Macaca mulatta: one gene and its partners. The protein of the gene in region 3 interacts with the protein of the main gene of each other region in a biochemical or structural test. Links are inferred from orthologs where the notes say so. Each region holds a gene or a part of one and is shown on either strand. Other genes may lie near its edges.

Evidence for each region.
Region 1: the proteins of CASP8 (region 3) and DEDD form a complex in vitro, tested with the Homo sapiens proteins (2 studies listed by BioGRID). The link is inferred for Macaca mulatta from reciprocal best matches to the Homo sapiens genes CASP8 and DEDD.
Region 2: of the proteins of CASP8 (region 3) and BCAP31, one has a biochemical effect on the other in vitro, tested with the Homo sapiens proteins (2 studies listed by BioGRID, with this or other methods). The link is inferred for Macaca mulatta from reciprocal best matches to the Homo sapiens genes CASP8 and BCAP31.

What each region holds. Positions count from the first base shown.
Region 1 is NC_133406.1:105,757,026-105,760,671, forward strand, and holds part of DEDD (death effector domain-containing protein), read left to right. Parts: intron 1-1,055; exon of another isoform or gene 1,056-1,635; 5' UTR 1,636-1,699; coding exon 1,700-2,024; intron 2,025-2,215; coding exon 2,216-2,323; intron 2,324-2,636; coding exon 2,637-2,783; intron 2,784-3,340; coding exon 3,341-3,646. UniProt on the Homo sapiens protein: A scaffold protein that directs CASP3 to certain substrates and facilitates their ordered degradation during apoptosis. May also play a role in mediating CASP3 cleavage of KRT18. Regulates degradation of intermediate filaments during apoptosis.
Region 2 is NC_133426.1:159,960,487-159,964,795, reverse strand, and holds the start of BCAP31 (B-cell receptor-associated protein 31), read left to right. Parts: upstream 1-1,438; 5' UTR 1,439-1,453; coding exon 1,454-1,607; intron 1,608-1,826; coding exon 1,827-1,965; intron 1,966-4,309. UniProt on the Homo sapiens protein: Functions as a chaperone protein. Is one of the most abundant endoplasmic reticulum (ER) proteins.
Region 3 is NC_133417.1:106,382,744-106,386,389, forward strand, and holds part of CASP8 (caspase-8), read left to right. Parts: intron 1-3,216; coding exon 3,217-3,322; intron 3,323-3,646. UniProt on the Homo sapiens protein: Thiol protease that plays a key role in programmed cell death by acting as a molecular switch for apoptosis, necroptosis and pyroptosis, and is required to prevent tissue damage during embryonic development and adulthood.

The DNA of each region.
Region 1 (3,646 bases), on a different chromosome or scaffold from region 3:
GGTAGGACAGATTTAAGAAATATCTAGAAGTAGCATTAACAGGAATTTAGAATTGATTGTGTGATTGGAGATTGTGACCAGAGAGTGGACAGTATTGGATGGTGCTGTCTGGTGGAGCAGTAAGTATGAGTGACTTGAGTGGAGTGAAAGTTGTTGAATTTGAGAATTGATTAATGACTGTGTCATTGTTATTAACCATAGCCCATAATGATGGAGGAACTTTGTGAATCAAGTGCCAAACTATATAATGAATGTGGGGCTGTGATTGGTCATTGATAGGGGATTAGTAAATGACATCCATGAGGGAAGCTTAGAAGTTGGTATTGCCAAGGCCAGGTACAGTGGCTCACGCCTGTAATCCCAGCACTTTGGGAGGCCAAGGCGGGCGGATGACCTGAGGTCAGGAGTTCAAGACCAGCCTGGCCATCATGGTAAAACCCCGTGTCTACTAAAAATACAAAAATTCGCAAGACATGGTGACGCTTGCCTGTAATCCCAGCTATTTGGGAGGCTGAGGCACGAGAATCGCTTGAACCCGGGAGGCAGAGGTTGCAGTGAGCCGAGATTGTGCCACTGCACTCCAGCCTGGGTGACACAGTGAGACTGCATCTCAAAAAAAAAAAAAAAAAGTTGGCATTGCCAAATAGTGTGACGATCAAGGGAGTACAAATGGCACAGAATTACAAGAATGCTTATTGTAGAAACGTAATAAATGTTATTTTAAATCCATGAGTTTTGGTAAATATTGATAAACTTTCTGAGCAGTTATCGTTTCTGGATGTGGTTGGACTGTAGGAAAAATGTGGAGGGATGATTCTGGGCTGCAAAGGCCAAGGATGCTTGTATCTTTGAAATCTGTTTCACAACCATTTATGTAAGGGTTACCAAGTGATTCTGCATGTATTTTCTCATTGGATTCTTAACAACTCTGAGGTATAGATTCATTCATCCCTGTTTACAGATGACAGCACTGAGAATTTGGAGTTAAGTGACTTGCTTACGGTCACATAGCTACACAGCTTTTCAGTGAGAAGAGTCAGAATTTAAACTAGTTCTTTTCTTTTTTTTCGAGATGGGGGTCTCACTCTGTCACCCAGGCTACAGTGCAGGATTATAGCTCACTGCAGCCTTGAACTCCCGGCCTCAAGTGATCCTCCTGCCTCAGCCTCCTGAGTAGCTGGGACTACAGGCGTGTACCACCAAGCCCAGCTAATTTTTTCTTTTTTGTAGGAACTGGGGTCTCCATATGTTGCCCAGGCTGATCTTGAACTCCTGGCCTCAAGCCTTCCTCCCACTTCAGCCTCCTGTGCAGCTGGGACTACAGGCGTGTACCACCAAGCCCAGCTAATTTTTTCTTTTTTGTAGAAACAGGGGTCTCCATATGTTGCCCAGGCTGGTCTTGAATATTTGGGCTCAAGTGATCCTCCTGCCTTGGCCTCCCAAAATGCTGGGATTACAGGTGTGAGCCCCTGTGCCCAGCCAGTGTTTATTTGTAAACAAACACTTTAAAAAATGTGATAAACATGTATAAAGCACTATACTGTGCCAGGCATTATTAGCGACTGGGAATATGGGAATGCCTAAGACTAGTTCCTGCCCTTGAGTATCTCATCGGTTCTTTCCCTGCCCTTTCAGTACAGTGTGGATTGCAGCTGCTGAGCAGGGATTCTGGAAAGCATTGCGTACCTGAGCCCCCAGCATGGCGGGCCTAAAGCGGCGGGCAAGCCAGGTGTGGCCAGAAGAGCATGGTGAGCAGGAACATGGGCTGTACAGCCTGCACCGCATGTTTGACATCGTGGGCACTCATCTGACACACAGAGATGTGCGCGTGCTTTCTTTCCTCTTTGTTGATGTCATTGATGACCACGAGCGTGGACTCATCCGAAATGGACGTGACTTCTTATTGGCACTGGAGCGCCAGGGCCGCTGTGATGAAAGTAACTTTCGCCAGGTGCTGCAGCTGCTGCGCATCATCACTCGCCACGACCTGCTGCCCTATGTCACCCTCAAGAGAAGACGGGCTGGTGAGGATGTATTAGGGGCTAGAATCAGGGAAGAGTTGTGGGAGGCCAGGAAGGAGCAGCATAGGCATCCAAAGGGGAAGACACATTGACCCTGGGGAGTACTTAGAGTAAGTTGTGAGGCCCATTGGGGGTTTGGACTGACAGAAGGGAAGGGTATATATTTTCCTGAATGATTACTTCTCCTCCTACAGTGTGCCCTGATCTTGTAGACAAATATCTGGAGGAGACATCAATTCGCTATGTGACCCCCAGAGCCCTCAGTGATCCAGAACCAAGGCCTCCCCAGCCCCCTAAAACAGGTGAGAAGACATTAACTCCCCCTACTTTCCATCATCAAGTAAAAGGACACTGATCCCATCACATTCTGGGCTTTGCCAGCTTAAATGAAAGGATGCTGTGCCCCACATCTTGTCCCATAAAAAAAAAAAATCAGGTGAGGTGTTGACGTTTCTCCTAGGTCCTGTATTTGCTCTCACATTATGTCTTTTCAAGTCACATTATTTCCACTGCTTTTAGTGCTAAGTCTAAATGATTCCTTCCTCATTCCAAGAGAAGTGTTTGAATTTCTGCCTTTACCCTACTGTGTTTTCTTCCCTTTTACTTTCTGGTCAGTGCCTCCCCACTATCCTGTGGTGTGCTGCCCCACTTCGGGTCCTCAGATGTGTAGCAAGCGGCCAGCCCGAGGGAGAGCCACACTTGGGAGCCAGCGAAAACGCCGGAAGTCAGTGACACCAGATCCCAAGGAAAAGCAGACATGTGGTGAGGAAGTTCAAGGGTTCCAGAGGTGGAGCAGACTTGAAGCAGAATATAAAGAACTGCTGGGACACTAGGCAGTTTATGCTATTCAGTGTGAGATTCACTTTGATTGCCATTGCAAAGTGAGGCTGAATGGTTTGGTGTCTGGTGGAAGAACTGCTCTTTGTGACTGTGGCAGGGTGCATTTCAACTCTTCTTAGTTAATACTACATCACAGGGATGTTGTTATGACATCCTTATTGTAGGATGAACCAAGTCAAGATAGAGTATTAAAATGAACTTCTGTGCCTGGTAATTAGGAAACAATCTCCTATAAGCAAGTTGCTACCTGTGGGTAATGGGAACAGTGCTGACCTGGGCATGTCCAGTTTAAGGGAACCTCCTGCATTCAGGCAAGCGTTTCAGAGATACATAGAAATAGTCCTGGGGAAGAGGTAGAGAAGCTGTCAGGTGATATTCCCTACTTTTTTATTCTGCTGTGCTTTTCAGTTTTCAAGCTTGGGTTGTAAACTCATCCCTCACTGTAACCTCTTCTGCTCTCTATCTTCTGTTTCCAACAGACATCAGACTGCGGGTTCGGGCTGAGTACTGCCAGCATGAGACTGCTCTGCAGGGCAACGTCTTCTCTAACAAGCAGGACCCACTTGAGCGCCAGTTTGAGCGCTTTAACCAGGCTAACACCATCCTCAAGTCCCGGGACCTGGGCTCCATCATCTGTGACATCAAGTTCTCTGAGCTCACCTACCTCGATGCATTCTGGCGCGACTACATCAATGGCTCTTTATTAGAGGCACTTAAAGGTGTCTTCATCACAGACTCCCTCAAGCAAGCTGTGGGCCATGAAGCCATCAAGCTGCTGGTAAATG
Region 2 (4,309 bases), on a different chromosome or scaffold from region 3:
GCTGGGGCCCCTGGTGCGGTGGGCTCAGGGCCCTCCAGGGTCGCGGCCTCTTCGGGCAGCCCAAGTGGAGAAACTTGGCTCTCCTGTCCTGTCAGTGCCCTGGCTCCTGAGGTCAGGGCCTGGAAGGATTTCGGGCAGAGGGGGCGTCTCTTCCTCTCCACCTTCTTCTCCTCCTCCTCCTCCCCTGGTGGCGCCCCTCCCCGGGGCACCAGGCGCGTCCGTCCGCTCCGCAGCCTGGCTGAAGCGACAGTGACTCCGCCACCGGCCCAGAATCCCCACCCACCCCTCCCCAGGGGCGAGTCGGGGGAAGGGGAGGAGGCGGAGGAGGGGCGAAGGGCGGAGTCCGGGCGCGGGAGCCCCACCCTGTTCTCGCCCCTCGGCGAGGCCCCTCCCCCACCAACCCCGTTCTCGCCCCTCGGCAGGGCCTCTCCGCACCACAGAGACGTGGGACGGCCTCGCGGACTAGATAAGCGGCCCTCGTAGGCCCGCCAAAGCCCCGCCCCGCCCGCGTGCTCGCTCCACCCCTCCCCGCGCGCCCGGAGCCCCAGGCGCCGCTTCCTCTCGCGCTCGGGGCGTCGGCCCTCCGCTCGGGGGCGGGGCGGGAAGCGGCGGTGGGCGGAGCCTCCGGGGCCTCGCGAGGGCTAGTGGGCGGTGCCCGGCGGGCGCTTCCGGTTTCCGGCCGCGGGATGAGGGGCGGGGCCGGGGCTGCTGTGGGAGAGTTCGGCTGCTGCGGCGGGGCCTGCACGCTGACTGTGGGAAACTCGGTGAGCGGGCTCCGCGCGCCAGGCTGAGCTCCGGGACCGCCGAGGCTCCCTGGCCCCTTGACGAGGGAGAGAGGCGAGCGGCGCGGGGAGGCCCGGGGGCCGGGGAATCTCGGGGCCCGCAGCCTACCTGGGTGTGAGGGGCAGGGGAGAGGGGAAAACGGGCGGTGCCTCTAGAAGCTGGGCTCGGGGGCGGGGTGGGGGGCGGTGAAGCCCCACCTGGAGGAGCGGCCTTGCTGGGCCTCGGGGACGGTGTGCCAGGCCGGGGTCATGTCGGCGGGGCCCACGGTGCGCGCAGTCGGCTCTCGCTCTGGGTGGGCGCTATGGCCCTCGAGGGCTACTGGAAGGACCCCTGGCTTTGAGGAGACTGCGTCTAGAACTTTCCCCGTATGGGGCCTTGAGGTGCTTGGTCTAGACCTGCTTTTGCGCTTGGTCCCGAATTCTGCTCTCTAGGAGTCGCTCTTGCGGGCCTCCAGCCCACCGGAGGCGAAGCGGCCCCGGGCGGAAGGCCGCTTGAGCCTCGAGGGAGGTGCCGGTTTCTCTCCGCGGGCGCCGTGGGGACGGTGGGAGGCGGGGGCGTCGGCAGCGCTTGGACTAGATGCGGCCTTGGGCCCGCCTGGTAGCGGGGATTTGGGCCAACAGAGCGCCCGCCTCTGCGGCTGAGTTCTGCCTGGCGGGGAAGGGAGCGTCCAATGGGTGCCGAGGCGTCCTCCTCTTGGCGCTCTGGCACTGCTCTTCCCGAAGAACGCCTTTCAGTTAAATGGGCGTCGGAAATCTCGGGCTCCCTGGGACAGGGATCGTCGGGAGAGGCCGCTCTGGACGTGTTGACACACGTGCTGGAGGGGGGCGGGTAACTGACCAGCGAACGGAAGTTTGTGGGGCCTGTGAACGCTGCTGGCCAAGCGGCCTTGCCTAGTGGAGCCCTGCTTCCGCCAGCGCGTCAGAGACTGTGAAGCAAAGTGCAGGGGGTCGAGTGGAGAGTGGCGGCCCCAGCCTCGCAGGGTAACTGAACTGGATGTTCTTGGCTGCCCAGCGCTTACAAATCCTGTTCCTTCTGTGCCCTGCCAGGAAACAAGCTCACATCTCCCTGTGGGAAACCTTCTAGCAGCAGGATGAGTCTGCAGTGGACTGCAGTTGCCACCTTCCTCTATGCGGAGGTCTTTGTTGTGTTGCTTCTCTGCATTCCCTTCATTTCTCCTAAAAGGTATGGCTTGTGGAGCAAGCAGGCGAGTTAGGCGGGAGGGTCCCTGTGCCCTAGCCCTGGGACTGGTGTGTGCAGCTGGTGGACCCTGGAATTGGAACCCGATGGAACAGGTAGAACCTGTCAGGGGTGGGGGTGGCAGGGGTTGTGTTTGTTATTGCCAACCCTCCCCAGGGTTCTGCTTCGTCATGACTTGCTCAGTTCCTTTTCCTGTGTCCCCTGCCTTCTGGTCTTCAGAATGCCCGCGAGAGGCAGGAAGATCCATGTTACAGTTCTGGAAATGATGCCCTCCCGCCTACTCTTGGCCCCCGGGGTCTTGGGATGGCAGCGTGGGATTCGGAAGACTTGCACCACTGGGTCATGTTGTTGCTGATTTGGTGACTCTTGTCCTAACTAGTCTCACTGGCATTGCGCAGTGGCTGCATGAACATTACTCAGCCTGTGGAGGATGAAGCCATATTCCCTTTTAATGAACAGAGAACCTGTTAAAAGTGAATTGGAAGTTAATTGTTAATTATGTATAATACCTGAACACGTCCCTATTTAAATTCACATATTACAAATAAGGCCAAATCTCCACAGGTATTTTTAAAAACTGTTTTTTCATGAAAAATTATCCCTGATGTGATACCACAGAAAGTATGCAGCGCTGCCTGAGGAGGATTCTTGCAGAAAACCAAACCTTCGTACAGTTGACAAGACATGCAGAGATAGAGGACCCCGGGGAGCTTTAATCTGGGAAGCTTTAGAGGACAGACAATCTGATTTCTACACAAAGCAAATTGGAAAAGCAAATGAAAGAGGGGAGGGAAGGGGGAGCTTCCATAAGAAGAGGGATTTAAGACATTTATCTACCAAATGCCAAATCGGTACCTTGCTGGGTCCAGATTCAAATAAATACTGTTGCCTACCGTGATTGGCATTTTCATCTCTAGCCCTGATGATGAGGGCTTCTTGTTGGTTTGAACAATATGTAAACACTTCTGAAGTCTCTTCTTAGAGCTGCATCCCAAAGCATTTGTGGAGGGAAATGATGTGAGGTCTAGGGTCCATCTCATCATAACCCAGGGTGGGGGGGGATATAGGCAAACCAAGGTTTATCATGTGGAAAGACAGTTTAAAGAAATAACATGTGTATGGGGCAGACATTTTGAATATTACAAAGGGGAGAACAATGAAAAGTAAGTTTCCCTTTTCAGAGACTATCAGTGTGTTTTCTTTTTGTTGCTGTGGTTTGTTTTTTTTTTTTTTTTTTAAATTTTGAGACAGTCTTGCTCTGTCACCCAGGCTGGAGTGCAGTGGTGTGGTCTCGGCTGACAGCAACCTCCACCTACTGGGTTCAAGTGATTCTCCTGCCTCAGCCTCCTGAGTAGCTGGGACTACAGGCGCCTGCCACCATGCGCAGCTAATTTTTTTTATATGTGTGTGTGTGTGTGTGTATATATATATATATATATATATATTTTTTTTTTGTAGAGATGGGGTTTCCAGACGTGAGCCACTGTTCCCAGCCAACTACCCGTGTTTAAGATTAGTTTTCCAGGCCAGGCGCGGTGGCTCACGCCTGTAATCCCAGCACTTTGGGAGGCTGAGGCAGGCGGATCACGAGGTCAGGAGATCGAGACCATTGTGGCTAACACGGTGAAACCCCGTCTCTAATAAAAAATACAAAAAATTAGCCGGGCGTGGTGGCGGGCGCCTGTAGTCCCAGCTACTCGGGAGGCTGAGGCAGGAGAATGGCGTGAACCCGGGAGGCGGAGCTTGCAGTGAGCCGAGATCATGCCACTGCACTCTAGCCTGGGTGACAGAGCGAGACTCTCTCAAAATAAAAAAAAAGATTAGTTTTCTAGACATTTCGATCTCTACGTGGACCAGCACCTTTTTTTTTTTGAGACAGGGTCTCGCTCTGTCGCCCAGACTTGAGTGCAGTGGCGCGATCTCAGCTCACTGCAACTTCTGCTTCCCAGGTTCAAGTGATTCTCCTGTTTCAGCCTCCTGAGTAGCTGGGATTACAGGCACCCACCACCATGCCTGGCTAATTTTTATGCTTTATTTGTAGAGACGGGGTTTTCGCCATGTTGGCCAGGTTGGTCTTGCACTCCTGACCTCAAGTGATCCACCCACCTTGGTCTCCCAAAGTGCTGTGATTACAGGTGTGAGCCACTGCACCTGGCCTTTTTTCCAACACTCTTGAATGGATATCAAATTAGAGAATTGCAAGCCACTGAGGCTGACTTTGTGTGGGCTATTCGGCCATTGGAGAAGAGTGCAAAGCTGGATTTCCATTTTGCTCAGGGCCCTAGAGCCCGTGTGTGTGCTTTCTCTTCAGCTCCCGTCCTTTTTGTCG
Region 3 (3,646 bases):
CATGCCTGTAATCCCAGCACTTTGGGAGGCTGAGGCGGGTGGATAACCTGAGGTCAGGAGTTCAAGACTAGCCTGGCCAACATGGTGAAACCCTATCTCTACTAAAAATACAAAAATTAGTTGGGTGTGGTGGCTCACGCCTGTAATCCCAGCTACTTGGGGGGCTGAGGCAGGAGAATCACTTGAATCCAGGAGGCAGAGGTTGCAGTGAGCTGAGATCGTGCCATTGCACTCCAGCCTGGGCAACAAGAGTGAAACTCTGTCTCAAAAAAAACAAAACAAAGCAAAAAAACAAAAAAAAGAGATATTCTGGGTGTGTAAGTTTCCTAGGGCTGCGGTAGCAAAGTAACACAAACTAGCACGTTTAAAACAGTTTTTAAAATTTATTCTCATAGTTCTGGAGGCCTAAGTCAGAAATCAAGATGTCAACAGGGTTGGTTCCTTTTAAGAGGCTCCAAGGAAGAATCTGTTTCACACCTTTCCCTGCTTCTGGTGGGTGCAGGAATCCTCGGTGCTCCCTGTTTGTACATGCAGCACAGCAGTCTCTGCCTATGTTCCCTTCTCTGTGTCTAAATCTCCTTCTTATAAGGAGACAGTCACTGGATTAGGAATTAGGGCCCACCCTAATCCAATGTGGCCTTATCTTTTTGTACGTGTGTGAGAGACAGTGTCTCACTACATCACCCAAGCTGGAGTGCAGTGGCACGATCTTGGCTCACTGCAACCTCTGCCTCCTGGGTTCAAGCAATCTTCCCACCTCAGCCTCCCAAGTAGCTGAGACTACAGGCACCCACCACCATGTCTGGCTGATTTTTGTATTTTTTGTAGAGATGGGGTTTCGAAATGTTGCCCAGGCTAGTCTTGAACTCCTGGGCTTATGCGATCTGCCCACCTTGGCCTCCCAAGTTCTGGGATTACAGGCGTGAGCAACTGCGCCTGGCCAGCGTGACCTCATCTTAATGAAATTTTATCTGCAAATGTCCTGTGTCCAAATAAGGTCACATTCTCATATTCCAGTTAGACATGAATTTTGAGGAAGAAGGGAGAACACTATTCAACCAGTACACTAGATAGCTCTGGTTTACTAGAATTGTGAAGTCTTTATAAGGAACTTATTCATTAAGGCACCAGTTAGTCCTAAAAACCCACAGCCCCAGAACTAGGAAAGCCAAGGGGGTCTCATCCTGTGCCCAACATCTTGGTCCTTTGAAGGTTCCACTTCTGCCGCATGAGCTGGGCTGAAGCAAACACCCAGTGCCAGACATAGTCTGTACCTTTCTGGTGGAGGATTGATCATCTACTAATAAGGCAGGATCTGTCTGTTAAAATCTTTCATGTATTGGCTTACTGAAATACAATCCTGACTTACTGCTTGTTCATTATCATTGAATACTAGCCAGGAGCTAATAAATATGCTAGGGTGGCCACTTACCATTATAAGAAAACACTAGACATTTTATTTTCCAGTTATAATTGCTACCTATAAAATAAGTATCTTATAAACTATTCAGGTTCATTACTAAACAATGATGGTACAAGAAAGCCTGTAGGCTTCAATAATGAGGAAAGCAAAAGGGTAAATACCTTGTAATAAAGGCGAAAGAGTCAGAATAGCTTTTTGGATTAGATCCAATTTTGGCCAAACCGAAAGCTTTAGATAAACACTTTTAGGGTAGAGAGTCCACGAGAAGGAGGATAAGGTAGATGGTAATACTGAGTAATTTCTGTTTCTATGCCATTTTTATTTTGAGAATTTTAATTTTCTAATTAAATTTTCAAGTCAACATGTTTTGTATTAAAATTATTTTCCTTTACACCATAGTGTTGAAAGGTTTGCTGACTTCTAAAACATTCCTGTGTTCACCTATTTGGCAAGCATATTCCAAGAGCCTAAATGTCCCAGCCTAAATGTGCCTATCACATACATGTGATAGGCATAGATTAGGAAATAGTAATACCTATCACTCATTGAACACTTAGTGTGTTGCCAAAGATTGGTTTAAGTGCTTCACATAAACTTATTTGTGTAACCCTCGACACCCTCCTATGATGTGGTTACGGATAATTATCTTCAGTCTATGGGCGAGGAAAAAATGTGTAACATGTTTGAAGTTAATGCTGCTCAAAGATGGTGGAATTAAGGCTCCAACACCAATAGCCGGGGTCCTCTGCATGCAAACATTGCACCTCATAACCCTCTGGGTTTATGAAAATAAAAAGGGTACAGACCTGGCCATTAGGGGACTTGAACAGTTTCTAAACAGACAATTATTTTTTGTTTTTATTTTTAGTGTGATGGCATGATCACAGCTCACTGCAGCCTCAACCTCCTGGGCTCAAATGATCCTCTCACCTCAGCCTCTGGAGTAGCTGGGACCACAGGTGCATGCCACCACACCCGGCTAATTTTTAAATATTTTTGGTAGAGAGGGGGTCTTGCTATGTTGCCCAGGCTGGTCTCAAACCCCTGGGCTCAAGTGATCCTCTTCCTGCCTTGGCCTCCTAATGCGCTGGAATTAGAGGCGTGAACCACTGCACCAGGCCAACAGACAATTATGTGTGTTATCCTTTTGGGGTTCCTAAGTCGTAGTGGAGTGAATGCAGCTTTGTGGATGCCCAGGCAATGCTTGAGCTGATTGTTCGTGGATGGGCGTCTGCAGATAGACAAGGGACGGGGTGTAGGGGCACGGCGGAAAGGGGTGAGGGCAGGGCAGCTGGGTGTGTTTGGGGCTTCAGGTCCTTTAGTGTTTGCAGTCTGGTCTGTGATGGCGATGTATTCAGAGACTTTGTATTCCAGAACCAAATGCTTGGCCTTCTTACTGAAGATAATGACTGGGAGAATACTGACCGGTTTTGATTAGGAAAGTCATGAGCCGCTGTGCATTTTGAAAAGCATAATTTCCAAAAGGCAAAGCTTTTTGCTATTGCAACAAAATCTTGATTTTATAGAAAAAAAAAAAAGCAAGATTTACTTAACTGAAATAAACTGAAAGAAAAGTTGATAGAACTTTAAATTGTTAAGGGTGGGAAAGTCAGGGAAGAGCCAGCAGACTTCTGTGTCACAACCTCTTTCCAAGGACTCAACTCATAAACCACGCCGTTAACTGGCTTCACGTTGAAGGGAGGCCTTTGGAATCAAGCCCACTGTGATTCCATATATCAAATGGGAAATTATTTGGGAAAAGGTTTCTAAAGTGTCTCCATTTCCCACCACAGGGTCATGCTCTATCAGATTTCAGAAGAGGTGGGCAGATCAGAATTGAGGTCTTTTAAGTTTCTTCTGCAAGAGGAGATCTCCAAATGCAAACTGGATGATGACATGGTAAGACCTGGTATCTTACTGAGATTTAGTCCTGAGACTTGGTTAGCCAGGGGGCATTTCTGAGACCAAAGAGAGGGGGTATTTTGGTAAAAGCAACCTGGATTCTCACTTTTTGACCAGAAGAAGAAAGTTGTCAGCACGAGTGTTACAGATGTGATTCCTCTATACTGAAGTGCTGCGCATGTTAATTACCGGGAGCAAGGCGGAGTCAGGGGCCGGGAGAAGGAGGCTGGTTGTGCAGATGCAGCCCAGCCTGAGACCCGGCAGAGCTGGGAAAGACAGCGGTGAGTCTGAGGCATTTCCTCCACTTCCGCAGTCCCCGAA